Yarrowia lipolytica: one gene and its partners. The protein of the gene in region 2 interacts with the protein of the main gene of each other region in a pairwise test. Links are inferred from orthologs where the notes say so. Each region holds a gene or a part of one and is shown on either strand. Other genes may lie near its edges. The genes, in order: YALI1_E28170g, YALI1_A14390g and YALI1_C02831g.

The links.
Region 1: the proteins of YALI1_A14390g (region 2) and YALI1_E28170g interact in binary tests that used the Saccharomyces cerevisiae proteins (3 or more experiments, as listed by UniProt). The link is inferred for Yarrowia lipolytica from reciprocal best matches to the Saccharomyces cerevisiae genes NGG1 and SPT8.
Region 3: the proteins of YALI1_A14390g (region 2) and YALI1_C02831g interact in binary tests that used the Saccharomyces cerevisiae proteins (3 or more experiments, as listed by UniProt). The link is inferred for Yarrowia lipolytica from reciprocal best matches to the Saccharomyces cerevisiae genes NGG1 and TRA1.

What each region holds. Positions count from the first base shown.
Region 1 is NC_090774.1:2,813,216-2,823,059, reverse strand, and holds YALI1_E28170g (uncharacterized protein), read right to left. Parts: upstream 6,065-9,844; coding exon 4,325-6,064; downstream 1-4,324. Other genes in the region: YALI1_E28224g (uncharacterized protein), read right to left, coding at 92-344, 606-652; YALI1_E28213g (uncharacterized protein), read left to right, coding at 1,733-4,081; YALI1_E28156g (uncharacterized protein), read right to left, coding at 6,798-7,302, 7,357-7,421; YALI1_E28150g (uncharacterized protein), read left to right, coding at 8,078-8,983. UniProt on the Saccharomyces cerevisiae protein: Component of the transcription coactivator SAGA complex. SAGA acts as a general cofactor required for essentially all RNA polymerase II transcription. At the promoters, SAGA is required for transcription pre-initiation complex (PIC) recruitment.
Region 2 is NC_090770.1:1,433,320-1,443,368, forward strand, and holds YALI1_A14390g (uncharacterized protein), read left to right. Parts: upstream 1-5,690; coding exon 5,691-7,598; downstream 7,599-10,049. Other genes in the region: YALI1_A14345g (uncharacterized protein), read left to right, coding at 1,193-3,136; YALI1_A14368g (uncharacterized protein), read left to right, coding at 3,542-4,240; YALI1_A14377g (uncharacterized protein), read left to right, coding at 4,370-4,846; YALI1_A14414g (uncharacterized protein), read right to left, coding at 8,015-8,083, 9,012-9,168, 9,238-9,419; YALI1_A14430g (uncharacterized protein), read right to left, coding at 9,519-9,713, 9,768-9,944. UniProt on the Saccharomyces cerevisiae protein: Component of the transcription coactivator SAGA complex. SAGA acts as a general cofactor required for essentially all RNA polymerase II transcription. At the promoters, SAGA is required for transcription pre-initiation complex (PIC) recruitment.
Region 3 is NC_090772.1:278,612-289,338, forward strand, and holds the start of YALI1_C02831g (uncharacterized protein), read right to left. Parts: upstream 5,564-10,727; coding exon 5,500-5,563; intron 4,989-5,499; coding exon 4,825-4,988; intron 4,569-4,824; coding exon 1-4,568. Other genes in the region: YALI1_C02866g (uncharacterized protein), read left to right, coding at 8,050-8,733; YALI1_C02873g (uncharacterized protein), read left to right, coding at 8,765-8,903, 8,958-9,076; YALI1_C02904g (uncharacterized protein), read right to left, coding at 10,195-10,727. UniProt on the Saccharomyces cerevisiae protein: Essential scaffold subunit of the transcription coactivator SAGA complex. SAGA acts as a general cofactor required for essentially all RNA polymerase II transcription.

The DNA of each region.
Region 1 (9,844 bases), on a different chromosome or scaffold from region 2:
CCATATCTACGAGGGCTGAGTAAAATTATAGTATGTACTGTTCTCATACTTTACTCATGGAATTGTTCAACATATCTAGTGGTCAAAAGATTCACAGGTTGGCCCATCGGACGCCATAAGGAAGCCAGGGCTTGTAAATGTTGTACCAGCGAATGTTGTCGCCGGAGCCGTAGGACTGCCAAATGCCTGGAACCCCGTTGACCTCGGTGCATCCCCAGGGTTCCCGATCGCCGGTGCACACTTGTTCATTGTCTCGTTTGTTGAGGGAGTCGACAGGAGCAGCCGCTGCCAGACAGGCAAGGAGAGAGACGGTGATGGTAGAGAGTTTCATGGTGAATTGGTAACTGTTAGTTGGTAATGGTGAGTTGATAAATCTGCTGCTGAATCTGCTGCTGGACTGATGATGATTCGGCACTTCCCCTGAACTACTTATACCCCGAATGAGACTCGGGTCTGAACCTCATCCCGGACTTGAGAGGTTCATGGGGCTCTGCGACCGCTTCATCAGGTCATTCAATTGGTTTGAGGACCCCGAAGTTTCCCAAACAGGCACTTTTTGATTCACCATTGTCTCCCAATGGTATCCACATCGGGTAATATCTCACCATGAGGTAGAAACGGGCACCCTGTAGAGGACCAGGGCAATTGACATTGTATCTCGCAAGTAGAGCGTTTCGCCGACAGATATTCCGACTAATTGCCCCAATTTCTTGCTGGAGAAACAACTAAATCAACTAGTGGACTTTCTGGTGGGTTTTCTTCAAGAAATTGTGTCACATTACGTCCCATGAAACGTCCTTTGGGTAGTACAAGTTCATTGGCGTCGTTCTTGGGAACTTCCAGTCCGCAAGAATATGAGATTTAACACTCAAATGAGCCTCTCATCATTCCATGAGGCTCAAACAGGTCTTTCATAACTCATGCACAAAACAGGTACTTGTACTTTTCAACAGGCACTTTTTAATAGGCACTTGTACGGTATCTGGAATAGGAAAATCTCAAGAAAGACAATCAATGAGGCTGATGACTCTAGATAGAATCGACCCACGTAGTAATGGGGCGTTATAGTCACGTGACGTCCGCTTTATAACCACGTGACCTGAGCACATTCATTTTTTTCACACAAACATTGTGTTAATCCTCGTTGCTCCTCTCCCTGTGCGACAATCAATCCAACTTCACCGGAAATCACTCTACGGTTCAGAATTTTGATTCATATGAATCTTACGCTCACTTATCTTCCCCGTAATATCCATTTACCCCCCAATGGCACCCCGTTATTGACCAAATCGTCGCGGGTTTTGGATCACATTTTCCCCGATTTATACTCCCAACGCCGCTTTAAACTTGTAATCCCGCCTGGTTGGCTCAGTTGGTTAGAGCGTTAGTCTCATAATCTGAAGATCACCAGTTCGACCCTGGTACCGGGCAGATTATTTTTTCCGCCCCAGAAACAACAAGCGTGATTTTTTTGCTCAGAGTCGACACAATCGTAGGTGGTAAAAATGACTGTATTTTTCCCCTTCTCGGCCCCCCACAATATAGCCCTCATTTCGGCCCCCGCTTTCCCCCGAGAATACCTCCAGGGTTAGGGATTCCCAATGGAGGTGAAAACTTTGGTGCGATATGTGGGATCATTCAGGCCCGGCTGAGATCTGCTGGAAAAGACAACCTACCTCGACAGCTGCGGTTTGCCTACGGCTGGAGAATTCGCACGAGCTTTTTACGGACCATGCTTAGGGTGAAGAAAGGAAGGGCAACGTACCTTCCGAAGCTGGGGTACAAGCCTCCGCTGCCTGACGACGATCCGTTATGGAGCGGAGGTGACACCCGGAGCTCCCTGAGCCTCTACGACCATCTCGACTGTCCGAGCAGTCTGTGGCAGGATGACCACAAGCGGTTTGTGGCGTATAAGGGCCAGTGGTCGTTTTTGGATGGAGGGCGGACTCGCAAGGCTGGCAACGATGTGCGGTATGGACGAGAGACGGTGAACCGGCTGAAAAGTGCCGCTATGAACCAGGAGGGGCTTTCTGCGGGCCAGCAGCGGCGCAAAATGGTGAATCTCATGGCGCTGGGCGTGCGTTTGGCTGCCCGCAAGGCCATGCCCATCAAGTATGTGGACTGTGCTCCCCAGACGGAAGACTCGCTCAATGCAGATCACGCGCTGCTGGGCCAGGCGTTTGGAGCCATCGAAAGCGCATTGCACGTGGACATGAACGGCGACATGCTTGGGGCGCCTCCCCAGGACTGCAAGTATCTCATGACGCGGCGGATCTGGCGGATTCTGGGCAAGACTACCCTGGCCCCAGCACTCATGGGCTACATCGTGAGCTCGCTCAGAAACACAAAGGCGCACCCGCAACTGGTGATTGATCTCTACAGCATTTTCGCCCAGACCCAGTACGTCTACGACCTGCCGATTGGCAACGCATGGGGCTACCAGCTGAACCTGGACCGATTTTTCCGCTACGCCTCGCACCACGTGTGTCCGTCGCCCAAGCCCTCGGACCAGGAGCTGGCGCACCTGTGCTCGCTCTTTTCCAAATACAACCACGAGACGGGTCTGCCTCCAAACGTGCCGTTTTCGAGCCGGATCGAAAACCAACTGCCTCCAAACTGGCTCCATGTGTTTCTGCAGATCCTCAGAGACAGACAGTACCCCTGCGACGGCCGAACCTTCTCCAAACTCGCTCTACAAGTGTCAAAGGTGTCGCCCTCGGCACGCCAGGACCTCGTCGACTACCATCTGCAGCAATCGCAACGCTGGTGGTACCAGGACGAAAGCATCTTCTCGCTCATGTATCTAATGTGCAACCGAGGCGATGCCGAGGCGTCCATCGAGGTCATGAACTCGTCCAAGTTTGCCGACCGGTTGCTGGATGAGAAAACGCGCATGGGCGCCTTCCGCATGCTGCTCTACCGCGCAGTCAAGTTTGAAGGCATGCGAGACGGAGTGTCCGTGTTCCAAACAATGAAGGAAAAGGGCTGTGCTCCGGACCTGCAATGCTACGGGCTGTTGATCCACGGCTACAAGGAGCGTGGCTACTACGAGGAGGCCATCACCCACACCATGGACGTGGCGGCCCAAAGCTACATCCCCACCGAGATTGCCACAGACTACTTTGAGGCGGTGGCCAAGAGCAAGGACCTCAAGGAGACGCTGGCGGTCTACTGTCAGCTGTACACGCCGCATTCGCTCATGGAGCTGGGCATCTTTGCCTTTGTTCTGCGGGGCAGCGCCCACAACTCCATTCCGCTGGACGTTGCGCTGGGCGAGCTGCCGCAACTGGAGCCCCGAAAGGCCGGGTTCCGCGTCTACAAGTCCGACGTGGCCTCGTTGCATATCCTTTACCGCGCAATACTGGACCAGGCCGACCAGGTGGAGCTGGTGCGCGATCTGTACGAAAAGTACCGAGACCATGTAGCGGTTCAGCTGAGTAAGGGAGACCGGATGCCGGCGCGGTGGAAGTGGCTGCTCAGCGACATGGGGTTTGCGCTCATGTCTTCCTTCGTCTCGTCGGTTCTGCGCTGCACCGGCGACATTTCGCAATGTCTGTGGCTTGTCAGAGACTTTGTCGACGTGGCCAAGGTGAACATGTTTGCCCCCGAGGTGTTCAACACGCTGGTGACGGCGTCGTGTTACAGCGGGCGGTTCGATCTGGCCGAAGAGGCACTCCGACTGGCCATGACCATCAACACGCCCACCAACAAGGTGGTTTTCATCCCTCTGGACGCCCACATTCGCGCCGGACGGCTGGAAAAGGCCCGCGTCTTCTGGAACATTGCCGTCGACAACAACGACGTCTACTCGTACCTGGAGCACGTGGCGCTACTGCTGCCGATAGCCGACGAGCATGGCTGGAATGTGCCCCAAAAGCTGCGCGTCGCCGTGGACAAGTTCCTCGACGCCCAGGAGGCCAAAAAGGAGGCCAAGGCCGCCGGATACGCCAAAGACGACACAGCAGAGCTCGAGCTGCTACAGACGGAATCCAACGACGAAATCGCATCCCACGTCGGACTGGACCGGGACCCGGAGACGGAGACGGAGACGGACAACCAACCGATCCGCTCGGCCAGATAGCACCGACATTTTTCTGTATATATGCATGTGATAGGAAGGAGGAAAAAGGAATAGTATGACGACAATACATTATGATTATTACCAAGATGTGTACTTCTCGGGTTAGGCCCGTGTGGTGTGTACCCGTATGGTCGTGCAAGACCATTCATATAATACATTAATACTGTTACAAAGGGCTTTTGAAGGATCAGTCATGGGCAATCCAACCCAGTCTCCATCTATCCAACCCAGTCTCCACCCACCTCACAGATTCTTGGTGCCGACAATGGGATCAATCTCGTACACCAAGGCAACATCTGTACTGGTGGTTCCACTCCAGCCTCGGTCTCCACTGGAGGTGACCATGTATCGACAACTAGGATCGACCTTGATGGACGACAGAATACCGCCCTGATGTCCCGGCACAATCCAGAACGGCACAGCCTGCTGCTTGGAGCTCTGCACGTCGTACAGCCGAACATTGTCGTGAGAGCCGCACAACACGTGTCGGTTATTGGGCATGGCAGCCACGGTGCTCACGGCACCTGACACGGACGGGAACTTGAACACCTTAGATGGCTCGTGCACATTGCCTCGCAGCGAAAACTCCTCCACCGTGCTGTTTCGTCGACCAACGTAGATGCGGTCTCCGTCGGTCGACCAGCATGCACTCATACACCACGGCGGGGTGCCTTGAGGCACCGCAATTCGTGTGATTCGCTGCTGCTGCCGTCTATCCCAAATGTCTACTGTTCCATCAATGGCCGACGTGAGAAATATGGACTCCGAGGTAGTGTTGCGGGTCGGCTCTTCGCTGCCATCACCATCACCTGGCTTGACACTTTCGCTGGCCTCCTTATCTGCTGCCACGTCCACCTCCTCCTTTTTCACCTCGGACTCGCCCTCCTCCTCCTCGTCCGACCCGAACAACGACCCCATGCTTTTGTCGTCGTCTTCCTCCTCGTCTCCCTCGAGAATCTCTTTGCCCCGGGCCGTTCTGTCACTATCCAGCCCCTCTAGACCCAGATTTCGAGACACTATTGCGCCTCCGACTGGCTGATACTGCACGGTGCTGACCTGGCCAGAAATGCCGTCAAACGTCCGAACCACATTGCCCGTGTCCAAATCCCACTCGTTGACGGTCTTGTCCCACGATCCAGACAAGAGTCTGTTCTCCCACTGGTTGAGAACCAGCACCGATACCGTAGACGTATGTTTCTCGAGGTACGCCTGGATCTGGCCCTCGTTGTGTCGTACGCTCATCAGCGTGATTCCTCCACTCTGCAAACCCGAAAGCAGCCACAGACACCGCGAATGCGCCGCCAGCGAGTACACGCACGACAGCTTGGGCTCGTAGAGCCCATCCTTAGGCTTGATGTCTGTTTCATAAACGGGCTGTTCGTTTTCCCAGTACGACGTCAGAACGCCAGCCTTGGTCACACAGTCCACAAACGGATGCCGTTGGGCTACCGTCAGGGGCAGCTTGCCGTTGACGGACGCAAAAAAATCGTACTTGCGCACAAAGCCGTCCTGGCCACCGGTAAACATCCACTTTAGCTCCCACGACAGATCTATCGCATGCACGGGACAGCTGTGGATCGCCGCCACGTATGGCACAATGTCGTAGCCCTCGCACGAGTCTGTGTTGGTACAGAGCGGAATGTTTCTGCGGCCGGTGTACTTGAGCACATGTTCGGGAATGTCGCTGGAGCCACTGTCATCAAAGACAATGTGCGATCCGTTCGACGTCGACGCCGCCATGTGGCCGTTTGACTTGGACCTCGTCACCACCTCCTCGTCCTCCTCTTCCTCGACCTCTTCGTCTTCTGCCTCCTCGTCTCCATCGCCCATCACCACATCCTCCGTGTCGTCCATCTCCATGTTGTTTTCCAGCGCGTCTTCAAACAAATCGTCCTCGTTCTCATGCTGCTGGTCGTCCTCCTCCTCGTCCTCCTCCTCCAGCTGGTTCAGCGCCTTGTCGTCGAGAAAGTCGTCTTTGGACATTTGCGTGTCGTGCAAACTGGCAGTGTCCTGGAAGTATCGTACTTAGCTCCGCATGTTGCAACCGCCAAAGTTAAACGGGAGTGCACAGCGGGACAGAGGGGGACACGAGGGGGCATTTATATTCACAATGGGGCCACAGAGAGTGACACAAACACAAAGGTGAGAGTATTGTCATTTCTTCAGTAATTTCATCAGTCTTACGAAAAAGGAACTACTTTTAAAACGAGCATGAGAACGGCAGTATGTATCGAAACCCACTTAACTAAGATCTAATATTAGTCAACTAAACTAGAGAACCATTAGTTAAAAGAGAAGGAAAGGTGAGTGTAAAAATTAATATAAAAAATATATATAAAAAATAAAAAAAGAATAAAAAAGAACTGAGTAAGTACGAGTAGAAGAACAAGTACAAAATGTCAGTACTCGTACAAATAATTCAGTACTTGAGATCTATTCTATCCATCTATGAAAATTATCGGGTTCGAAAACCACCTGGTTTCATATTCCTGACAGCTGGGTATACAACTCAGTTACCAAGTATTGTAAGTACTGTAGGTAGTACACACTCCATTCAACCCACATTCTCCTCCAGTTCAAGCACTTTGGTTCTTCTGCCGTGCACTGATGACTTAAAGACCCTCTTTTCGTCGTTTAGATGCAACTTTTCGACGTTTTCGACTTTCTCCTAGTCCAGTCTTGACTGTAGACGCTCCTCGCTCCTCGCTCCTCGTTCCTAATCAAACAAAAACAACCGTTCAGACACCTCTTTCACCACCAGATCCATGCCTGCGTCCAAATTGTACCCCGTGTACGCACTGCAGCCCATTATGGTGGTGTTGTGGCCCTCGGGGATCTGGTCGAGGTCCAGATGGCCGCTGATGCGTTCAACGGTCTTGTCCCGCTGATCTGGGTCCACCAGATCCAGCTTGTTGATCCAGATGAGCACTCCGGCTCCAACCAGTCGGTCCTCGTTGAGAATCGCTTGCAGCTCTTTGCGGCAATCGTGGAGTCGGTCGGTGGCACTGGCGTCTACCACCCAGATCATGAAGTCCGTCTTCTCAAAGTAGTTTCTCCAGAAAGGTCGCAGAGTCTTTTGGCCGCCAATGTCCCAGATGTTGAGCTTGTACTGGCCCCTTGTCACCGTGCGGATGTTGAAGCCCAGCGTCGGAGACACCTCGTTCACGTCCTCGTTGAGAATCTTCTTGACTATCGTCGTCTTGCCCGAGTTGTCCAGACCACTGTGTTAGTACTGTTCCCTCTCACACCCAGACACGTCGCTTCCTCTCACTCACAGCATGAGCACACGGATCTCCTTATCCTTGAGCTTTTGTTTCTTGATGATCGTGAGTAGCCCCATTTGTCATGTCGCCAGGAAGAGGAGTTGTGGTGGAGCACATGACAACTGCACAGGAGAGGTTGGTGACAAGTGAAGAGATCAAATTGGGCGATTGAGTCGAAGGACTATGGTTGGAGTGTTAGATGCGCCAAAGGAGGGTGGTAAAGCGATGAGTAGAAAGAAGAAGAAAAAAGAGGGGGAAAAAAAAAACAGGGGAAACACACCCCTTGCCGCGACGCACTTGCCGCACTCCCACTCTCTCTAAGTAGAACATCAACATAACAAGTCAAAGTAACACATAACAGCACATGAACGCCATCTAAACCACCCGTTCCTGGTACCAAAATGATCCTCTGTATCTGAGGAATCCATTTCTTTTATTCTTTAGTCGCCTGTGAGAATAATGGGCAAGTTACAGTCGAATCTATATTACGCTTACAAAGTACTGGATGAACCGCAGAGTGTGTGAACATGTATCACAATATCTCTTCTGTCTACCAAATTCGCCAATCTCCTTTCCCCAATCGACAAAACCTCAATATCAGCCAACCTCAATATCCAACTCACCCCGCTATATAATGTATCATATTAAGGTTTATGCATACTGCACCAAGCATGCATACGCGGTCTCAATATATACCTCATCTCATATATAATTACGGCATATCGACCCAGCTATGACGGGATGGATATATTTGCACCAGGCGTTGCGGCTGCTTACGCCGTATCCGCAGGCCGTTCTCAACAACAAACGGTCGTCGGTGGCTGGCTTTTCGCTCGACTACGGACTCTGGGCGTTCGTGGGGGCGGTGTGTCATTTCGTCTTCACCCTCACATACATCAACAGCGATCTGGTCCATCGGCAGTTTGTGCAGAGATACCCGTTAGCGTTTGATATGCCCAGCGCGTCCGGGGTGATTGCCCTAATTGACTTGAACGAGTCATTGGTGTGGGGCGTGTGTGCTGTGCAGGCGTGGTATTCATACAGACACACCCAGACCAATGCGCAGTCGTGGTCTCTGGAATGCAAGGTGATTATGGGTCTTTTTTTCGGCGTGCTTGTGTTCCTGCTGATGGCGGTCAAGTCCCATCCCTTTGCAAAGGTGCCCTCGCCTCCTGGAGTCGGCTATCTGGGTATCAAGTTCATTGACGTGGTGGACTGGCTTGGAATCATCGGAGACTTCAGCGTCTACGCCCGTTACGTGCCGCAGGTGTCGTGCAACTGGACGGTGCAGAGCTGTGTGGGCTCGTCGTTTTTGCTCATTGTGCTGGATCTGGCGGGCGCGTTTTTCGGGATTCTCGACGTTCTGGGCGCCAAAAAGGCCAAGCCCACCAAGGAGAGAAACCGAAACAAAGTCGTGCGGGCCGTGCGTCCCTCGGGTCTCTTTTGGGCATGCTGGTTCCGCTTTTTCTGGGATCTCGTTCTGCTCTACCAGCAGGTGAAATACAAGGGATGTCGTCCTCTGGTCAAGAGGAAGTACGTGAAGCCCGTGGACGTGGAAGTGATGGGAGAAGAAGACGACAGCGATGAGGGCCATCGACTGTTGCGTTCGGGCGAGGTGGAACTGAGAGACATGGCGTGACCGTGAGGATAGAAAATCGTGATACACTGCATTTACATATTTAATGATTATGACATGAGAGGGTAGAGAGAGTGGACACTGCAAATCTCAAAGAGCACTGTAGTCGTTGTATTCGGACCCACGCCAGACACACTTGTCAACTAAACATTCAAGTAAAGTATCAGCTTGAAATCACATAACTGTGTCGAATGGGCGAGTTTGTAACAGAAATATCATGTCAATAGTATATATCGGAGACTGTGTGACACTGCTCTACAGTTTTATACGCTTTTTTCTCTACGAAAGCAACTGGAGCACCAGACAGAAACCCATCACAACTTCTTCTTTCAACTAAAAGTCAACTAAAAAAGACCATGCTATATGTCTCGGTTGCGGGCTTCCAGACACCATGAGAGAGATACAAGTGTCAAGAGCGAAGAATCTGAGACAGCTGTTTCGGTTGTGTCTTCTCACGTGATCTTACATTGCTTACTAATCCAGTACCAATAATAACCACTCTGTTGGCTGTGTATACTAAATCATGTCAATATATCCGAGTATATATAGAGAGGAGGTGTCTACTGAAACAAGTAATGATAGTAGAGATATTCAAAAGACAGAATTAATACATACGTAGACCCCAGGATAACCAAAAACCGTGCTCTTCATCAACATATTAACAATTCTAAAAGTGCATACAAGAATGAACACAACCTGGAATCGAACCCACGGGACCCGACACCACTCTCCAGACTACTGCATGGGTTGAAGAAAGGATGGGGATTGAAGAATGAGGTGATTATTGGTGTTGTTCGACCGACTTATGTGTAAACGAGGACAAGATTCCTTCCTACAACCACTTATATCGCTCCTAACTCCGAT
Region 2 (10,049 bases):
TCCGCCAGCTTTCCGCATCACCACATGCGGGTTAGGGTATAAAAAGTGGCGTTTAGGGCTCTACAGGAGAGGCCAGACAATCTTGGACTCTTGGCCGCCATTGGCTGGGACATTATCTCCCACCTCTTTTAGGCGTTTATTTTAGACTCGGCGTATACAAGTACCTGGGAACTCTAATCCCACCCCTTACCCTAAACTGCCAGCGTGAGAAACATGACAACGTCATACAGTAGCCACTTCTAAACTTTAGAGTTTCGGAGCCTATTTCAAAAATCACTCTATTTAGACGGACAAAGCTTAAATAAGGTTGAGCGTCAGAGTGCCCCCTCTTGGGGTCCCCCCCACTTGTTTTTCGACGATGGTGAGAATAAGGTTGGGCCCTAACCCACGCCAACCCAACGGGGCATGACAGCCATCTTTTAGAATTACCCGACCTTGCACTACATCTTTGGAGCTTGTTTCTCACACAACACAGCACTACTCATTTTCAGCGCTGCAGGTGTATCATCGACAATTGGCAATTGTGCTTGAGCCATCAACGAGTTGTACAATAGGACCAGGTGAGTACGAGACCGGAGCGCGTCGACGCAGACGATGACGAGACGCACACAGATGCAGAATCCCCGACACCGGCGAACGGCCCCAAGCCGGCCTTCTTGTAATGTTTTTTGCTTCCCGTGACACGACAAGATACACGACATCAGAACGGAACACGAGACCCGAACATGACGACACAGAGATAATGCCACGTGGATGGATTGGCGATGGAGTTGGATGGTGGCGATGGAGTTGGATGATGGCGATGGAGGTCGGATGATGGCCGTCTGCGATGCATGATTGGTGATGATGGATGGTGGTGGTGGTGGTGGTGAAGGGTAATCGGTGATGATGGGTTCACAAGACCCAAAAGAGGGCATTCATCACGTCTTGGCGATTGGAACGCGTCATCGTCGGACAATGACGCTTGGAGTCCATCCTAACACGTGTCCGCAGTTGTGTTGTCCATCTTATCGCCATTTTTAATCGCCATCTTATCGCCATCTTATCGCCATCTTACCTCCGCCATCTTTAGCCATCTCTTTCTCTGCCCTTGCCTCTGCCCTTATCTCTGCCATCCATGAATCATCGAATCTGCATCACCCGTCAGCCTCTTGGGTCATAGGTCACACCAGACTCTACAATACTAACCCAGATGAGCTTCCCCCAACAAGTAATAGCGCCGGGCCAACGGCTCAACGAGCTTCTGGAGGCCATCAAACAGGAGTTCGACTCCGTGACCAACGAGGCGTCCGTCTACCGGCTGCACAAGGACGAGTTTGACGTCAAGGTGAACCAGCAGACGTCAGATCTGGGCCAGATTCGACAGTCGGTCTACGAGCTAGAAATGGCGCACCGAAAGATGAAGGAGCGCTACGAGGAGGAAATCATGCGGCTCAAGAGCGAGCTGGAGGCCCGAGGTGGACCCGCTGCGAACCCCGCACACTCCCAGCAGCAGCAACAGCAGCAACAGCAACAGCAGCAACAGCAGCAGCAGAACCAGCAGGCACAGGACCAACAAGCACGGGCCGCGCAACAACAGGCAGCCCAGCAGCAGGCCCTCGCCCAGCAGCAGGCCGCCCAGCAGCAGGCTCTGGCCCAACAGCAGGCCCAGGCTCAACAGCAGGCCCAGGCCCAGGCCCACCACATGGGTGGTGTGCCCCCTTCGCAAGGACAGCCCCCGTCGCTGCTGCGTCCATCATCCAACGTGTTCAGCGGCATCATGTCCGGTCAGCCCGGCACCTCTTCTCTGGCTCCCCCGCAGGGACAGCCCGGTCAGCCCCAGCCTGGTCAGCCCCAACCTGGTCAACCCCAGCCCTACTCCGGCTACGTGGGTGCTAACGGCTACACGTCTTCGCCACATAACGGACCCCCCGTCATCAGCGCAATGGCCTCGCCCAACAGCAAGAAGCGACAGGTGTCGACCCCCGTTCCCGGCAAGGCGTCTCCCCAGGTGGCCCCCCAAGAGATGCAACAGCAGCAGCAACAGCAGGGCCCTCCACAGCAGCAGCAACCTCCCCAGCAGCAGCAACAGAGCCCCGAAGAGATGGGCAACTACCTGGGCGACATGGACATTGAGCGGGTACCTCCGGAGCTCAAAAAACAAAAGGCCGACTGGTTTGTCGTTTACAACCAGCGAGCACCACGGCTGCTGGACGTGGATATTGTGCAGTCGCTGGACCACAACTCTGTAGTGTGCTGTGTGCGGTTCTCCGCTGACGGCAAGTACATTGCCACTGGCTGTAACCGATCTGCCCAGATTTTCGACGTGCAGACTGGCCAGCTCATCTGCCGGCTGCAGGACGACTCGGTCGACCGAGAAGGCGACCTGTACATCCGGTCCGTGTGTTTCTCGCCGGACGGTAAGTACCTGGCCACCGGCGCCGAGGACAAGCAGATCCGAGTGTGGGACATTAAATCTCAGAGCATACGGCACGTGTTCACTGGCCACGAGCAGGACATTTACTCGCTGGACTTTTCGCGAAACGGCCGACACATTGCCTCTGGCTCTGGCGACCGCACAGTCCGAATGTGGGATATTGAGAGCGGCCAGTGTACTCTAACCCTGTCGATCGAGGACGGCGTCACCACGGTGGCCATCTCGCCCGACGGCAAGTTTGTGGCTGCAGGCAGCTTGGACAAGTCTGTGCGAATCTGGGACACCTCTACCGGTTTCCTGGTTGAGCGTCTGGAGGCCCCTGATGGACACAAGGACTCCGTCTATAGTGTAGCTTTCACCCCCAACGGTATGGATCTTGTTTCCGGCTCGCTGGACAAGACGATCAAGCTGTGGGAGCTGCAGGCTCCTCGAGGCATTCAGGCCAACCAGCGAGGAGGCGTCTGCGTCAAGACGCTGTGTGGACACAAGGACTTTGTTCTGAGTGTGGCCAGCACGCTGGATGGGCAGTGGATTCTTTCCGGCTCCAAGGACCGGGGTGTGCAATTCTGGGACCCTCGAACGGGCCAGGTGCAACTCATGCTGCAGGGTCATCGAAATTCGGTCATCAGTGTGGCTCCTAGTCCCATGGGCGGGTTGTTTGCTACTGGAAGTGGAGATTGCAAGGCTCGAATCTGGCGATACTTTCCTGTCAACAGATAATCCTGGGCGGTCGCGAGGCCGGACGGGTGTCTGGCAGTTAACAAAGACATTAGATGTCTGGATGAAGCCTGCTCCGTTTGCACGCAATCTAGGGAAGACAGGGCTATGTAGTGTATAAAATTTTGTGGTATTATTATTAGACAAACATGGAGTTGTAGTGGTGGAGTATATGCGAGTGCAATACTGTATGTACTTGTTGACGATGGGGTATCAACGTGCTATGTATACTTGTACTCGTTCATGTTTACCCTCTTCAGACAGCTGGTGTTGACGTTTTGGTCATGTGAATGAAGATACCGGGTGGAGCCGAAAAGTGGAGCTGAAAATGTCCCCACTTTTCAACTCAGCTCGGTTTCTGCTCTCTTGGTTTTTGTCTGTGATTACTCTAACGCCAGCCTCTCTCTAATGTCCACTCATTCGCCACTTACCATGAATGGCTCTGGACCTTGTTTGCTCAATAGCTCCACGGCTCCCCGTGGTCCCCATGTTATTGATGCTCTCGGCACCTTTGTTGGCAACGGCTCACGGAGATCAGCAGCTCCACCCAGCCCGCTGGCCAATGCCACCACCATCAACGCGGCCAACGTCAACCCGTCCAACTCGGGCCTCAACCAGCCGCCGCAGGTCATGTCTCTCAACGAGCTGCTTGAAGTGCACAACGATCCGCAGCTCGACGCGCGACTGCCTCCCGAGAACCCCAACCGGCCCGTGATCCGCCACCAGCGCGAGATTCTGTACGGCAAGTGGAACATTGGCCCGTCACGGGCCGACAGACTGGCAGCCAAGATTCGCAACAAGTTTGGCCCCACGGCACGCAAACGACGCAAGGCCATCAGAGAAGACGAGAAGAAAAAGGCCCTTGAAGAACAGCCGCCAAAATACATGCTCACGGACTTCCACCATCAGCTGGTGCAGGAGATGCGAGTAGTGATTGAGAACCAGGAGGCGGTTTTGGAGCAGCTCACGAACCTGTTGTATCAAAAGGACGCCGAAATCGAGAAGATGCATTACGACATGATGTTGGTCTCCACTCCGCCAAATGGGACCCTCGCTAGTATTCGGGAGGAGCCCGTGAGGCGGTTTGGCGGAGGTTGTCGTGAGTAGTGTTTCAGTGGTGATAGGACCCTCGCCAGTGGTGGGAGGAGCCGTTCTCAAGAGGCATGGTCATACGTGTGGGTCCACCAAACCGCATTATCAGGGCGTATATGAGGCATCTGTGAACTAGATTGAGGTATGTTAGCTACAAGTAATGGACAAGTTGAGTGTTCATTCATCCAGAATGTTTCAAAGGCCTGTTACTTCTCTACAAGTACAGGAACAGATATGAGCACAATCACAAGCACGAAAGTGACCAGAATTCAAATCAATTCCATCATCTCCTCGTTTCAATCTTCCACCATTTTCACTCGAACCTGTTCTTTGACCAATAACATCTTATGTCTTCTGAATTGGATGGACATAACTGGATCACGTCAAACCGAGCAGAGAGAATTCCAGTCAGTGAGCAGGTTCAAGCACGTCATGGAACGACTATTTTACAAGTACTTGTACTTGTACTTGTACAATATACCAGGTCAATTGAACTTCAAGATTCGTCAGTCGGAAAACGTGAAAGATATCACTCACCTCTTATTCACCCTAATTCACCTTCTTGCTCACATCCATACATCTGCCGACTCCGTACTAACCCAGAATAGCCGCTACTACTGACAACGAAAACAGTAATATTGGGAAATACTTCCGACAACCAACAAAACATCGGAGAACTCCAAACCTAACGTTCACTGATCCACTGAAATCCACTCTCCGAAGATACCCTACTTCTCAATACTCTTCATCTCCATACTCTTCCAATACTACAACCGTTACACAACAACCACTTTCAGCCCGTCAAAACACCGACTTATTCCATCTCAGCCAAAGTTCATAACTGTCATCACTTATTATCACCATTCAACGGAGGTGTAAACGTACAATACAAACTACCGTACCCCTTACCCTGTACCCTGTACCCCAACCCTAACCCTATCATGAACCCCTCAAAAAGAAGGTTGAAGTATGGCGTGGTCAAATTCAGTTACCCGGCCGCAAAACGCAAACTTTATGCGATTAGTAATCACAATAGTACAATCAACTACGAAACGCTACGACTTTGGAGGACACAAATCCGGCGAAAACAACGCCCGAAGATGATCTTACGAGTGGCTAGAACAATGGTATCCCTTCGCCCCCTCATTTCCCCGCAGTCAATAGAGTTTAATACGCCACTGGTAGCGTATATATCCGAGATGGCCTCAACTTCCACAACCTTCTCACGGAACCCTAACCCACAGGTTTTGGGAGGAGGCGGCGCCCCATCGATCACGAGGTTTGGAAAAAACGGCGTGCTTGACGAGGAGGAAAAATTCAAAAAAAAACAGGCCGTGACGAGACACACAATCTTTCAGGCGACACAGCGAAATCGACGACAAGACCAAGCAGCCACAGCGAGAGGAAACGGGCGGAGAAAAAAACCACACCAACAAACAAATAATAACTCATCTCGCCACGCAACATGGCCAGTCGACGATCAAGATCTCATGCGGTTTCGTCTGCGGAGCCGGAATCCAAGTCCACATCACCGCCGCCCACAGACGCGCTGCTGCTGAGACGGCTACAGAACGCGCTGACGTTACCCAACTCGTTTCTCAAAACCAATGGGATCGATCTTTCGGAAGATGCACGTGTTTCTGTGAACGGGCTGGTGGAGCTCCAGAACGAGTTGCGGCAGATTCGACAGAGGACCCGTGGCGTGCTGGAAAACCACAAGGCCGTGATTCGGGCCATCGACGAAACGGTGGGACGCCGGGAGCGAAAGGGAGGCAAGAGCGGAGGTAAGGGTGTCGGAAAGGGCAAGGGAAAAGGACCCAAGCAGAGCAGCAGCTCGTCGTCAACCTCGTCGAAAACAGCAGCAGCAGCTTCTGGAGGGTCTTCTCAGACCGAGAATAAGGACATCAAAATGGAAGATGTGGACGAACTACCCGCGGAAAAGAAGATTGAACCGGTCAAACTCAACATTGATAGCGATCTAACCACGATCCAAACCTCTCCCCCCGGAGAGGGCTCCCCCAAGGAGTATGAAAAGAACCCAAAGTCCGAGTTTGTCGACTCCCAGACGCTGCCCCTGTCGGTGCTCAAGCTCTACGACGAAAAAACCATCCCTTACACCGGAGAGGAGGCTCTCAAGCTGAAATATGGAGTCGCCTCTTACCCTACCACGGACCTAAAGGACCAGTTGGCCGGCCCAATCCCGGACCAAGACTACACTCGGGCCAAGCCGCCCAACCAGGTGCAGTTTTCGACCTTTGCGACTGCGATCGAGCCCTACTTTCGACCCTTTTCCGAGGAAGACGTGTCCGTGCTCCTCCAACAGTCCATCCCGCTTGGAGCCACGGGTGCTCCGCTTTACGCCACGGGCAAGGATGCAGAGATCTCACCGTACCTCGTGCCCCCTTTGGGTCCCCCCTACACCGACGCGTGGGCTGCTGAAGACGCCGAGGCAGGTATTGCTGCTGGCAACGCAGCCTCAGCGTCCCGGTTCTCGCCGCCCCCAAAGACGGAGCTCGCGGAGATTGAGCCCAAGGGCAAGAGCGAGGATCTGGTGGACGACGCGCTGGAGAGCTCGGACATTAGTTGCGGCCCTCTGGCGTCGCGTCTGCTGTCTGCGCTGCTCCCGGACCCCAACAAAAAGGAAATCAAGGAGGAGCCTAAGGACGACGAGAACAGCGCGACCCCTGCCGCCGCAGTGTCGTCTTCGCCTCCACAAAGCCCGCTAATCAACCCCAGCTGGAAGGTGGCGACAGCCAAGGGTGACTATCTGACGCTGGAGCAGCGGCTCAAGCGCGAGTTTACGTACGTGGGAATCATGGACGTGAACAAAAAGAAGCAGGGCAAGCGGTTCTCCAAGCGCGACGACGAGATGGACCTCATGGACGATCTTGACGACGACGAGAACAACGAGGACCTGGAAATCGACTGGGTGCACGGCCGGGAGGACGACGAAATCTGCCAGCAGATGCGCGTGCTGCAGAAGAAGCTGCGCCAGGTGCACAAGACCAACCAGGCACGCAAACGTATCCTACTGCCCATCGTCAAGGAGCAGATGGCGTACCAGGAATTCCGGCAGATTCTGGAGGACCTGGACAAGCAGGTGGACCAGGCCTACCTCAAGCGGATCCGCAACCCCAAGTCGAAAAAGAAGAAGCAGCAGAACAACAATGGCACCGCTGTACCTCAGGAGCGGCCCGGTCTTCGAGTGCTGCTGGACAAGCGAAACCGGTGGATCGACAAGATTGGGCCTGTGTTTTCGTCATCTCCACACGACATGAAACGAGTGCCGTCTGTGTCTGTGTTTAAGGATCTTGAGGGCAGTGATGATGAGAGTGACGGAGGCGAGTTTGACGACTCCATGTTTGTGCAGTAAGACGCTGATGTGCAGTAAGACGCAGATGTGGGTGCTGGGAAAAGGGTGGCTATTGCCGCCCCATATAGTATATAATAGAATGGATGGGATGGTGACAATTGAGGTGGTGACAGATGGCAGTTGCGTCGCGTAGAGGGTCAGCGTACTTATATTGTAGTGTGTTCTGAGGTCTGAGGGGTTTCAAGACAAGAGACAAACAGAGGTCCGAGGCGAACATTGTGCCAGCAGTTCGTACAGAATGTACGACATACAGTACATACTGTACAGAAATGTACTTGTAGTGGCAGACTTGAAACATTCACAAGGAGATTTCCGACATGTGCCCGGTAAGAAGCCCTTGTAGCCACGGTTTAACCCTGCTGTAGCTGTAACCATCCTCTGGCTCACAGTAACCATGCGGAATGTCCAGCCCTGTTCTAAACTCCATTATTGTACGGAGACAACTGCTTTTGCTGGGTGACTGACAGACGGTGATCAAGCGACGACTGAGGTAAGCAGTAACTTGGTGGCCGTAGTGGAGTGGCGAGCGGGGTTAGGCGCGAAACATGGAGACACTAGCGGTGGTCACGGGTAGTCTGGGTGGTTTGAATCCATGTTGAATGTCTAGTATCATTCCTGGAGACAATGAGTCGTCATAGCCACTCTATCTGATTGTGGCATTCTTTGAAAGGAAGAGTGTAGGAAGAATGGGCTGAATGGTGAGCGAGAGTGGGAGTGGGAGTGGGAGTGAAAGAGTGGAAGAGTGGAAGAGTGAAGAGTGGGTGGAAGAGTGAAGAGTGAGTGAAAGAGTAAAGAATGAGTTGAAAAGTAAAAGTGAGTGAAATAAAAGAAGATATAAGTATTTGTCAGTCAGTCATTCAAAACCATCTCTTAACAGAATGTCACTTATCTCACTACAAGACAACAACATACAATACCGTCAGATCCGTGATACCAGTACAACCACCGTACAGAAAGTACTCGCGCCCGAAACAAACATTCTTGTACCTCAAATCCATCATATAAGACACCCACATTGCAACATACAACACCCACACTTTGCTTTCCCGTAAACCATGCTCACTCTGCTAACTCTTCTCACTCTGCTCACTCTGCTCACTCTGCATCACATCAACTCCTAAAGCATCACGGCATAATCGCCGAATAAAAAGCGTAGGAGGTTTGTCAAATCTCGTGACCACCAGTACAAATCTCACGTGACGAAATAATATGACAACCTCCACGTGACCCGTTCTTTCGCTCTAACCGGCATTGCTAAACCGCGCATAGCAGCTGCATTTGCAGGACAGATCAAAATGCGTTTGTCACGCAAGGTCATGTCGGGCACAGGGCTAGTGCACGACGTTACGGCAGTCTCATCTTCATCGTTAAATATATACAGGCCATTCCAGATGGCTATGCTATGCAAGGGACGTGACGGTGAGGGAGGGTGAAGGGGAGGGGGAGTAGAACGGAGTCAGGCTGGTTCAATTGGCGTAGGGCTTTGGCGTAGGGCTTTGGCGTAGGGCTTCGACGTTGGTGTCGGGCTTTGAAGTAGCTCAAATGACTCAACTCGCAACTCGATCCAGAACTCGCAACTTGATCCAGAACTCGTCTCGTCCTAGACTCGCTCCGCTCGCCTAGTCCTCGCCTAGATCACGACCCACGCTGCTTCTCATCACCCACTCGCTTTCGAGGACAGTAGGGACACAGTCCGTGGGTGCATCGCTTACAATCGTAGCGGGTGGGCGGCTTGCCGTGGTACTCGCCACACTGACAGCAATACCACTCTGTGATTGTGTTGGGGTCCGAGGGGTCCACCATGACGACCAATTGTTTCATTGTGGCAAGTGACGTTGGTGATGTGGTGGGTGGAGCGGGGGCAAGTGTATATATAAGTATGTGCTGTTCCGGTTTCAACAGCAGGTTGGGGCTGTCTGATCAGTCGGGTGTGTGAGTGAGTGTGAAGTTGGGGGTGTCAGGCTTGCTGGATATTTTGGGGCTAGCGGTCAGACACGGGACAGTTTGAGACTGAAACGGTGGGCGTGTTGATGAGCGCGATCTTGGGTGACTATGGCGGGTTCTTGGGATGACTATCACGGGTTCTTGGGTGTCTGTGTCGGTTTGGTACGTGGTCTAGAGGTCGGGAGGCGGCAGATAAACAAAAAAAGAAGCCGACTGGTGGGATACTGTTGATGTCTGGAGACTCTTTCTGTCTCTTTCTGTCTCCTCTCTCGGAGTCCACCCTCTCTCCTTCTCTCCAAAGTGTGGGCTCAAACATAAGCTCTTATGGTTTCGGCTCTTTGGGGCCAACTCTACCCGCAATAGACGCTTTAGCTCATCCGCAAGTGATGCTTCAGGCTCCATTGTTTTTCATTTGCCGAAACACAAATCGGAGGAGATGGAGATGATATAAGTTCGTCGGTAGTGGGAAGGCACGAAAGGTGACGGGGAGAATGGATACACAATCTT
Region 3 (10,727 bases), on a different chromosome or scaffold from region 2:
TTTGGAGCAAAGTAGTCAAACGTCTGCTCGGGGTAGCAGTTGAAGAACTTGCCGACGGGCACCCTGAAGGGACTCTTCTGCTGACGACGCAGATTTCTCTCCAGATATACAATCATATTGACAATATCGTTCATGAATGTGTGTGCGGTAGACGGCAACAGGTGGAACACGTTCAAAATGGCCACGATGATCTGTACGTTCTGCTGGAGAGACAGGTTATGAGTAGCCAGTTGGTGGAGAGTCTGAGGTTCAGCACAAGCTCTCAGGTGGTCCAGCAGCTTGCGGCCAATCTCAACCTTGAAATAAGACGTCAGGAGCTCTAGCAGCTTGGCGAGGCCCTGAAGGCCGGCCACGGACAGTCGCTTGTGGTCCGACAGCGACATGAGAATAGGCTTGAGTCCATTCTGAAGCAGGTCTTTGGGCAACTTGTTCTTGTTGGAGAGAACAGACCGCAGACCCTGGTGGGCAGCTTCGATAACGGCGTCGGATCGCGAATAGAGCGTCTTGAAGAATACGGCAATGATCTTGGACCGAGTGGGAGGTGCCTGGATCGCCGTGTACTCGGTCTGGGCGAGTGCAGCGGACAGCAACTTGATACAGACGATTCGGAGTTGCACGAGTTGCTCGGCTGTTCGCTGTTCGAATACTCGGTGAGCAGCAGTTAGAGACTCGTCCTCGGCGTCAACCAATGCCAGAGCTTCCAGAATCAAACGAGTGAGCTCGTCGTTGAAGGGCAGGAAGCCGTTGCCGAGACCCAGGCAGTAGGTAATGGCGTCAATGTGGCCAATCTGCATAGGGAAAGGCAGAGCTCGCAGCGGCTTGCCGAAAATTGGAGCCAGTAGAATAGTTTTGACGGGCTCAAGGATGGCAGACACGGACGCAGACTTTGTCACTTCAGCAAGAGTAGCCAGAGCCTGCTTGGAAGTCTCCCGCACGGAAATGTTGGCGTTGCCGAGATCGTAGGCTAGCAAACCAACCACCTGCTTGAACGACTTGTCTGCCATCTGCTCGGCAGACAGATCAGTGTTGCAGCGACGCAAAATGTGGAGATAAAGATTTCGAGCCACATCTCTCACGTGACCAGGCACATCCGGGGGCACGTCCTTGCACACAAACAGAATGGTTCGGGTGAACTCAATCTGCTTCACCTGGATCCACCGCAGTGGACAGTCCAGGTCCTGCATCAGCGTCTTGAGACCTAATACAGCGCCGTACTTGCGGTAGTACTCCTCCTCGAAGCAGCCATGCGAGAAGCGTCTATACATGGACACGTACAGAGGGAACTTGAACGCTAGCTCCTTGCTGCCAAATACAGTAACACCGGTGTTGAACATATGCTTAATAGCGTCAATACCTCCTTGCTTGATGGACTCATTGTAGTGGCTGAGAGCAAACATGATAGCGCCAATGATTGCCTTGCAGTCCAAAAAGGTCTTGCCCTCATGTTCGTTGAGATCAAACGAGGTGAGTTCCTTCCGTTTGTCCAAAACATATCTACCAAGGTTCAGGAAGACAAAATGGTCGCACAGGTTGTGAATAAGCTCAGTGGCCTCCTCCTTGACAGCGTCGATGGATAGAGAGAAGAAGAGCGACTCCAGCAGCATCGTCAGTAGCTCATCCTCGAGCTTGCGCTTGACGGGGTACTTGACTTTACCATCCTTGAGGTGGTACTCGCCGTTATCCTTGGATTTGGGGAAACCCTCCATCGTCAGAGCAGTCACCGCCTTCTTGATAGTCTCGCTCATATCAGATGCAATAGGATGAGCGTCGATCAGCAGTTTCAGGCAGCCCGACAGGTACTTGAACGCACTCACCCGGTACTCTAGACGCCGCTTGGAGTCCTCCAGAATCGCCACAGAAGCCTCCAGAGCAGGCGTAATGTTCACAGGTAGCTTTTCCTCCACGCCCTGGAACTTGGCCACGATCGCCAGATCATTGTGCACCGCGGAAATCGTCTTGAGGTTGTCGGGAGGAGTCAGAAAACGTCTGTTTCTGCCACCCAGCTTGCCCAGGATCCTCAAAGTCGTATGCGAGTGCTGATGGTAGTACGGCAACGGCTTGAGATGGTTCCACAGCGCCTGCATCACCTTGTCCATAACGGGCTCGATGATGGGGTCAAAGTACTCGGCCGTGAGGTTGTCGACGCAGAGCTCGAGAGTCCGGAGACCTTGCGACACGAGCTCCTGAGAGCCGTTGAGAGCAACGACAAGCGGAGACATGAGGTAGGAGAGGTGCGGGACGAGCACAGAAAGACGCACGGGAACCGTGAGACACAGCTCGACGTAAATATCTCTCTCCTGTGGCTTTCTGGCAGTCAGAAGCAGCTTATTCAGTGACTCGAGCAGCGACTGGAGCAAAGGGAGCACCTCCTTGTATAGCAGCTCGAATCTGCCTCCTCCAATGCTTCGGAACAATGTTCGCAGCAGGTAAAAGTACACGATTGGGTCCTTGCTGGTGGTGGTCAGTTTCATCGAGTCGATAATGAGACTCTTGAGATGTGGTAGAAGAACAGCCTCGTTCTGAGCGGGGAACAGGTTCACCGCCATGAAACACAGCTTGAAGAGCCGGATCAGAATGTTTGATTTTTGAATGTTTCCGTCTCCGAGCTCAGGGAGCTTCTCCTTCAGAAACGAAATCAGCAACGAAGAGAAGTTGGCAGAAGTAGCTTCGGAAGCCATGAAGAATTGGGGGATGTGAAGCAGTGCAGAATTGGAGAACATGGCGTCGTAGAGAAAGGGGAGCTCGCTCTCGATGATCTCGTTGAACGACGCCGAGTCAATGTGAATGAACACGGTCACAAATGTCTCCATGAGATCCTTCTCGGCTTTGGAACTGACCACAGGCAGCGAGGGGGCACCGAGGTCGTTGTTGGCGACCGTAGCGGTCTTGTCGGTCACGTGAGAGGCGAAAAACAGATGACCCTTGATGCCCTCCTCAAACAGCTTGCGGAAGATAGTAATTTGCTCAAAGTTGAACAGTCGGGCGGACTCGTTCCACACAGCCTCGCTAATGTCGGCAATTGGACATGGTGGGTTGCACGACTTGAGGCCAAACATGACCGTTTTGAGGAAGTTCATGAGGTTCTTGAACAAGTAACGGGCGTCCTCGAGGGGATCCGTCGTGGGAGTAGGGTGAATCTTGATCAGCGACGACGCCTGGATCTCAAAGTAGTCAAAGTCGTACTCGGATTCGATCCGGGGCTTCTGCGGGACGACATCGTTGGACTCGACCTCGTCGACTTCTAGGTCCTCGGCCTTGCGTTTGAGCCCAGATGACTCAGCAGAGGTTCCCAGCTTCACGTCAACCTGGATGTCCTCCTCGGGCTTGACTTCAGCAATGGGTTTGTCTCCACCTTCAGCCTTCTTCTCAGCCTGCTCTTTCAGCCACCGCTCGTGGCCCCTCATGACATTGGGATATGTTCTGTTGAGGGCACCGAAGAGCTCTGTGAAGGCATTCAGAATCAATACCATGGTCTGACGGCCCTCGTTGCGATCCTGCAGCTTCATGATCGGGTCCACAAGGTTCAGGAGCAGCTTGGCACTCATAATCTGGAACGAGTTGGCCAGCGACGCGTCCAGCATATTGGCGCAGTACACCTTGACAGTCTTCCAGATTTGCTGGAGCGTCAATTCGCTGCGCACGTGGTGAATGAGATCCGCCATGATAGAGTATGCCAGCGGCTTGAGCGTTTCTCTGACTGTCAGACCATCACCAATCAACACCCGCTCCTCCAGCAGAATGTCAATTTTGGGGATGAACATGGTCCTTATATCCGTCGACGTAATGTGTCGAGCGGCGACCAGGAGCTCCTTTCGAGCGGCGGAAAGCTCGCAGGGGCAGTCCTGAAGAAGACGCACCACGAGATCGGGAATGATCACGTGATATTCCTGCAGAAACGGCGGGAAGCCTCGCAGCGCGTATGCCAGAAACGACATGGTCTTGACCTGGCAGGTGATGAAGTCGCCGTAAGCCGCGCGGTTGCGGATCTGGGGCGAGATGGTCGTCAGGATATCGCCACGAGCCTCGGCCTGGGCATGGGCCTCGGCCTGGGGAGGGGCTTGAATTCTCAGCATCTCAATCACGTGAGGCAGGAACTGAGGCAAGAGTGTGGGCACCATGGCTCTGTGGGTGGAGAAGAGCAGTACCACAATGATGGGGCACTCAATGAGCACCTTGAATGAGAACAACGACTTGGCCAGGGGGCGAGAAGCTGCTCCGCCAGGTGTGGCGACGCTCACGTCTCCGTCAGAGACTAGAGACGGCGACATGGGGGACTGGAAGTTTGAGGAGCCGGTCTGGTTGACGCCAAACGTGTCCTTGACGACCGAGGGGATGTTCTTGTAGAGGTCGGTGACGAGCTCAAGGAACTGGGTCACGTGGTCGCCGCCCAGGTGCGCCTTGTAGCCCTTGTGCAGGGCCGTGAGGATTTTCATACATGTCACTCCGTTTTCTTCGTTGTCGGTACGGAGGATGGACATGATTTGCTCCAACAGAGCGGAGGAGTAGGGTTTGAGGAGATCGTTGGTTTGTAGACGAAGGAGTATTTCGAGGATCGATGATCGGAGTTTCTGAGTTAGTACGGGAGGTGGGGTGAGTGACTAAGTGAAGAAAGGCAGACATACTGAGAGCCATAGTGGCAGATGTCATTCATCAACAGCAGCAACAACTGTGACAGTATCCTCCAGTCCATATTAGTCACTCCTCATCTCTGAGATTGAACCAGGAACCGAGTGAGATGAGAGGTGATTGTTGTATCTCGTGTGTCGTCTGCATTTATCAGGTTTTTCTCTTGCCATTCCTCTAGAATGATTCTATCGTACTCACTTGCTCGACGGAAATACTCGTGAAAGACACGGGGGTGGACTCCAAGATTTTGGTGTATACCGGCATCATCTTCTGCAGATAGTATTCGTAGTCTGCGGGGGAAGATTGAAATGAATCAACGGCATCTCGGAGTTCTGACGCAGCGACTACTTTTGATTTTAGGTCTGGGTTAGCGGAGTTCAATGGAGCTCCAAGAGCGAATGGATGAAAGGGCAGAGCGACGATATGTTGCTCTCGAGATGATGGCGATATGTAGCGACGAGAATGCCAAACCGAACGATTTAGACCGGTGAAGGACGATATGACAGACAGTGTAGCATGCATGGGCGAATGGACGCTGGAACGGACGAATATGAAGTGCTACAGTAAAAGTGGCAGAGTCCGTGGTGAGGAACACTGTTATGCCAGCCTTTCAAAAGTAGCAGAGCCCATAGTGTCGACCACTGGTGTTATGCCAGCGTCTCTACAGACAATTCTCACTGACCATCACAACACCACATCCATTTCGCCCAAAAACCGTCGAATGAGCTCAAAAAAACGTGATCCTGGCTCGTCTCCATCGTGTTATTCACCCTATCCACCTCTTTTGTCACTCAGACGTCTCCTTCGCATTTTGTCGAGTTCCATCACTGGGTGTCTCACACCTCTCCGCCTCTTCACCTGCTCAATACTCACCGGAATCATCGCTCAGACGGCTGTGGAACGCATCAACTTGCGCCTGGGTTGAAGCGTCGCGCATTTTGGGCTGTGACGGGCTCAAAAACGATGTGGAAATGTGATGTGTGGAGCAAAAGAGACTACCGAAATGTTCGTGAACACCAACTGGGACATGCACCTTGTGAAATTTCCTTACGTAAGCGTGTATAGGGTTGAAAACCGATAAATGGCGAGTGGGGGGCGGTTTTTTCAAAATTGAAAAGATTTTCCCGTGATATAAGCGATTTCGAGTCGATCTGTATATTGAGATTTTCAATAGCTCGTCAGCAACACATCCGAATGCCCGTCTCCAATTTCGTGTTTAGCTTTCCCTTCTGGTCAGTGGCTGGGAAAGTTTAATTTTTCTATGAGAAAAGTGATCACCCTCGTTAAGGACCAAATATTGGGTGGATTGAAAATCTGAGTGGATTTATGGAATCAGCGTATCTTGAGCTCCTCCCCGATACCAAATTTGAAGGTAAAAATCAAGAATTTTGGCTGATAATGGCAACGTCTGGAATCTGACAAAAATGTGGGAACCCCGTTTGTGAAATTTGCTTATGTAATCGTACATAAGGTTTCGAACATTTAGACGAGAGAAGGCATCTCTTAGTAAGCGTGTACCAATTGTCTGGCGCTTAGTAAGCACGTCCTACCAAAATGCCGTAGTGAGGGTGGGGAGGGAAAAAGAGAGGTGACGCTTACTTACTTGCGTCTAGCACACTCCGATACGGGGAATCGAACCCCGGTCTCCACGGTTCTCGACTTGAGAGCGTGATGTGATAGCCCCTACACTATATCGGACTGTTTTGTTCCGGAGGAGGATGCAGGGTAGATGTGAAAGACGGGTTTTGGGGCGACATAAAAAAACGGAAAAAGTGGGATAATGGAAAGGGGAGTTGATTATAAGGTTCCACTCGAGTTTTTGAAGTTGTGAGGGTGTTTTTTTGAGAATCTGGGGTGTTTTTTGACGGAGTTGAGGTCAGTGGAGGTTGAGCAGGGCTGGATAGGAGATGGGGAAGCAGGATATGACAGAAGATGGGAACAGGACTTGATGACTTGATGAGGTGATCAAACCCGCTCCGCTGAATCAATTGTGATTGTCGGATTTACTATAGAAGCTGTGGATGAGGAGATAGATGAGCGATGTGTGTTTGGAAGATGAAGGTGAACTTGTATACTGCACCCTTAGATAAGTCTCTGTTACGTAATCAGATTGTATGGCAGCAGAATGTTGGGAATTCAGTTGTTTTGTGGTTTCCACTCAGACATTTTCATACACTTTTCATCTACATTCTGGTCTATACACGGTCGGATCAGCTCTCATATTCCGACTCATTTTTGAGGGCACAATTTCCGAGCCGCATGAGCAAAAGGCGAGATATCTAGGAGATAAAAACCAGTAAAGCATTGGAGGAATACCCTGGAAGGAAAAAAATAGACCCGTTCTCGCTGTGTGGAATTCAAAAAAATCACTGATCAGCTAGAAGCTAGGGGAATTAAACCCCCATATGTTCCTCCACTGTCAGTTCTGTTAGAACTTGACATGGACAGGAATTGAACCTGCAACCCTTCGATTACAACCAAGTTGACTGGAGTCGAAAGCTCTACCATTGAGCCACCACATCAGTGATATTATAATTTTTTTCTGTTTGGACCCAGCTACAGTGAAATCTGGCTTTTTTTCCCCCATTCATTTTTCTGGCCTTACAGGGCGTAATGGGCGAGGGGACTGATTGTGGAAAGTTGCAGAGGGCTCTATATACATTCACACATACAAAAACCTCGATAAATGTTGATCTGATGCCTCTGGGGGTTGTTTTTGTTGGGGAGAGGAGAGAATGTTGTATCAACGACAGCAGAAGGACTAGAATAAAACAAAACAAAAAACACGTGTTTCAAGTGGAAGATTTTAACGGGAAATTCGATTAGAAGATGAAAGGAAAGGTGTGAAAGCTGTCGTCATGCTGTTGGATGATTTTCCCCATTCAGGAGGGTATTATCTCCATTAATGTCAACTAAATGTAACTATACTCATGAAGAGAACTAGGCATTGATACATGGCGAAACAGCCCAATTTCGCGATTTCACAAATACAAGTGAGCTGATCTTTTCACAGATAGATAATAAGATCACGTGACCGTCGTATTAGTGAATTTTAGTCAGCTGTTAAAGTCCCTGATTTGTTTTGACTGGCCATGTGTAGGATATGGGTCAGTATCATTAGTTGGGTTTACTTAAGAGCCAACTAAGCAGCCACATGTTCCACATGCGCTATAAATTTCGACTAAAAAACCCGTATTATTTCAGTTGGAGGTTGAACAGGCGACATAGATACTTGAAGATGAGACCACCGAACGTATTGGCAGTTTTCAATATTCAGTCACTGTTTCCCTGGTTACTTGTACCAGAACTGGGTTGTTACTTAAACTACATCACCACCTAAGATCGTCTCTTTCTCTTCTCCATCTCTCGAGATATTCTACACCAGCTCATCATCTCCTTCTAAACACCAGCTCAACCTCTTCCATGGCCATAAACATTGGACAGCTCAACGCGCAACTAGCTGACAGCAAGGCTCGTCTGGAAGCGGCCCGAATCAGAAACGACCAGCGACTGAAAGATGCCAAAAGACACAAATCCAACTCCATCGGACGCCCCAGATGGGTATCTCCGACCAGTTACAGAGCGGGACAGGACTCTGCACAGCTCAAACACGCCAACCGGATCACTTCTGGCTACAGGGACGCCAGTACACACGCTACAAAAGATGCCCAACAGAGAAGTGAAAAGTTTCGACAAAAACCCCAAACTGAAGGCCAACGGACGTCATATGCTTTATCTAAAGCTACCCCGAGAAATGTCCCTTCAATAAGACACGTCCAGCCTGCCAAATACAAAAGAACCACTCCACAGTTGGACTCAGCAAGACTACAGCAGACTGTTAGACGAATGGCGACTACTGAGAAACAGTCCAAAAGTAGATTTTGCCGGGAAAACAGCATCCTTACGTCGACCGTCACCGACCCCCGTCTCAGTTTCTCAGAGGCTCTAGCTACATCTTCCCCCAACGTCAGCCGGGCCGAGGAGGAAGATGTGGCGGTTTTGGCAGTCCGGTCGGCTAAAACAGCTCTAAAAAGCTATCTAAACGGCACTATTTCTCTCAGTCCACAGCTATTGTTGCAGTTGATTAATTGTGTTTGTCAGGACTGAGATGAGTAGGTATGTACAGCAAGAGTCGTTAATGGGGAGATGGAGGGCTCCAAGAAAGGACATCTCTACCGTGAATGACAATTTTCTTGTTCTTGTTACCAAAGTATTGATACCAAAAGTGTCTATTCAGCAGTCGGTTCCCTCTGGGTGGTCAACAGAAGAACCATGCTGTTGATTTAATCGGAGATTTTTACCAATCTAAGCTGTCTAATCCCGGAATGAAGACATTGAAGTAGGTACCTACTACAAGCACCTACCGGTACAGTATCTACCTACTCGTCGTCCCATGTCACCGTTTCTACTGCCATTCTACGGCGTACCGTTCTTTGATGGGAATTTTTGAGGGCAAAAAAACCACCAAGCTATTCTAGTCTCAAGAACAACCGCCCTCCAGACTTAATGGGCCTTTATCCACTCCTAGTCTCACCCAATGTGTGTTGAAATACCCGGTAAGGTGATTCCGGGTCAGTTCCTCACATAATGATCAGAGCTCATGACACAGTGATGAGAGGAACCAGCCTGGTAGTAGACGAGATGTCCATATTAGACGATGTCCTGTAGATAGGTTTATCTACTGATCTAGAATTTTTCTGGCGAGTGCTACAGGAACGTGGTGTCCTTGCGATGAGTCGTTTTATTAACTATCCCTAACTAATAATACTTATGATATTCAATAAAGTGTTCTCTCTAGAGCACCCGTTTTTTAGTCCCAACTAAATTTTGTTGAAAACACAAGCAGAAAGAGAACTCTGCAATTAAGGTAGAAATAAGAAATAAAGAAATACAAAAAAAAAACGAAAAATTAGAAAAAAAACAATAAAAAAGAGAAAAATAAATAAATCAACAAAATATAAACGCCTCATTCAGGCAGTGCAAAAAGAAGGTCCCACCGAGATTCGAACTCGGGACCTTAAGATTTGCAATCTCACGCGCTACCGCTGTGCCATAGGACCGAATGGAAACCATGGAAAAAAAGTGGCTGGGTGATATCCTACTAGAATAAAAAAATAGTTTAATGAATCATTAGAATTAAAAAAAAAAGGTTTTTTAATGAATCATTAAAATAAAAAAAAAGAATAAAAAAAAAGGTGAGAAAAACGAAAATGGGCCCGTTTGAAAGCCGATAAAGAAAAGAAAAATACGAAACTATTGACAATCGTCAGATGTACCTCTGTCGAAACTTACGTGCCCATTGAAGCAGAATATACGCGGGTTGAGTGGTCCGAATGTGGACGTGTTTAGAAGTGAAATTCTGGACTTGGTAATGTGCCAGACTTGTTTCTCTTCTCATAAGACAACATTGTCCGGTAATGCCCAGTACACATATACATTCCTACTCCATTATCGGTCTGATGCCTCTGGCAAGTCTATCCCACATCCCTCCCTTCCATCTGATAATCAATTCATATATATCAAGTCCGCTTGTCCATCGACTTTTGTTTTGTTATTGTTCTCACACGGTTAAACATCACAAACGCAATTGTTGCAATGTCCTGTGCCACAGCTATCACCATCGTCCTTCTTGGGCTTGCTGGTGTGCTTGGGATCGTTGAAGGAGATCTCGGTCTCGCCGTGAAGAGGATCATGCGTGGTGGTCACACCGGGAACCGCAGGAGTACCAGGCATGGGCATGGGCTCAGAGGCTTCGGCCTCAATCTCCAGAAACTGCCGCTTGAGGTTCTGGCCTTGACTCTTGATGTATCCGACCAGCGCAAGACCCGAGACGGCTGTGGCGCCCAGCAGAATGGTGTTGACGGGGCTGGGGTTGAGGTGGAAGGTCTGCTTGGTGAGTCGGTCGAGCACCGACTGCAGAATGTTGAACAAACCGGAAATGCAAATCACCACGCCGTAAACGGTGCCAAAGGTCTTGAACCCGAAAATCTTAGCAGCGTAGTCGCTCACGGCCGTGTAGTAGAGCGGTCGGTAGAGCACAAACAAGAACACGTTGATGTAGGCGGCCCAGGGCTTGGCAACGAGGTTAAGGGCTCCCAGAG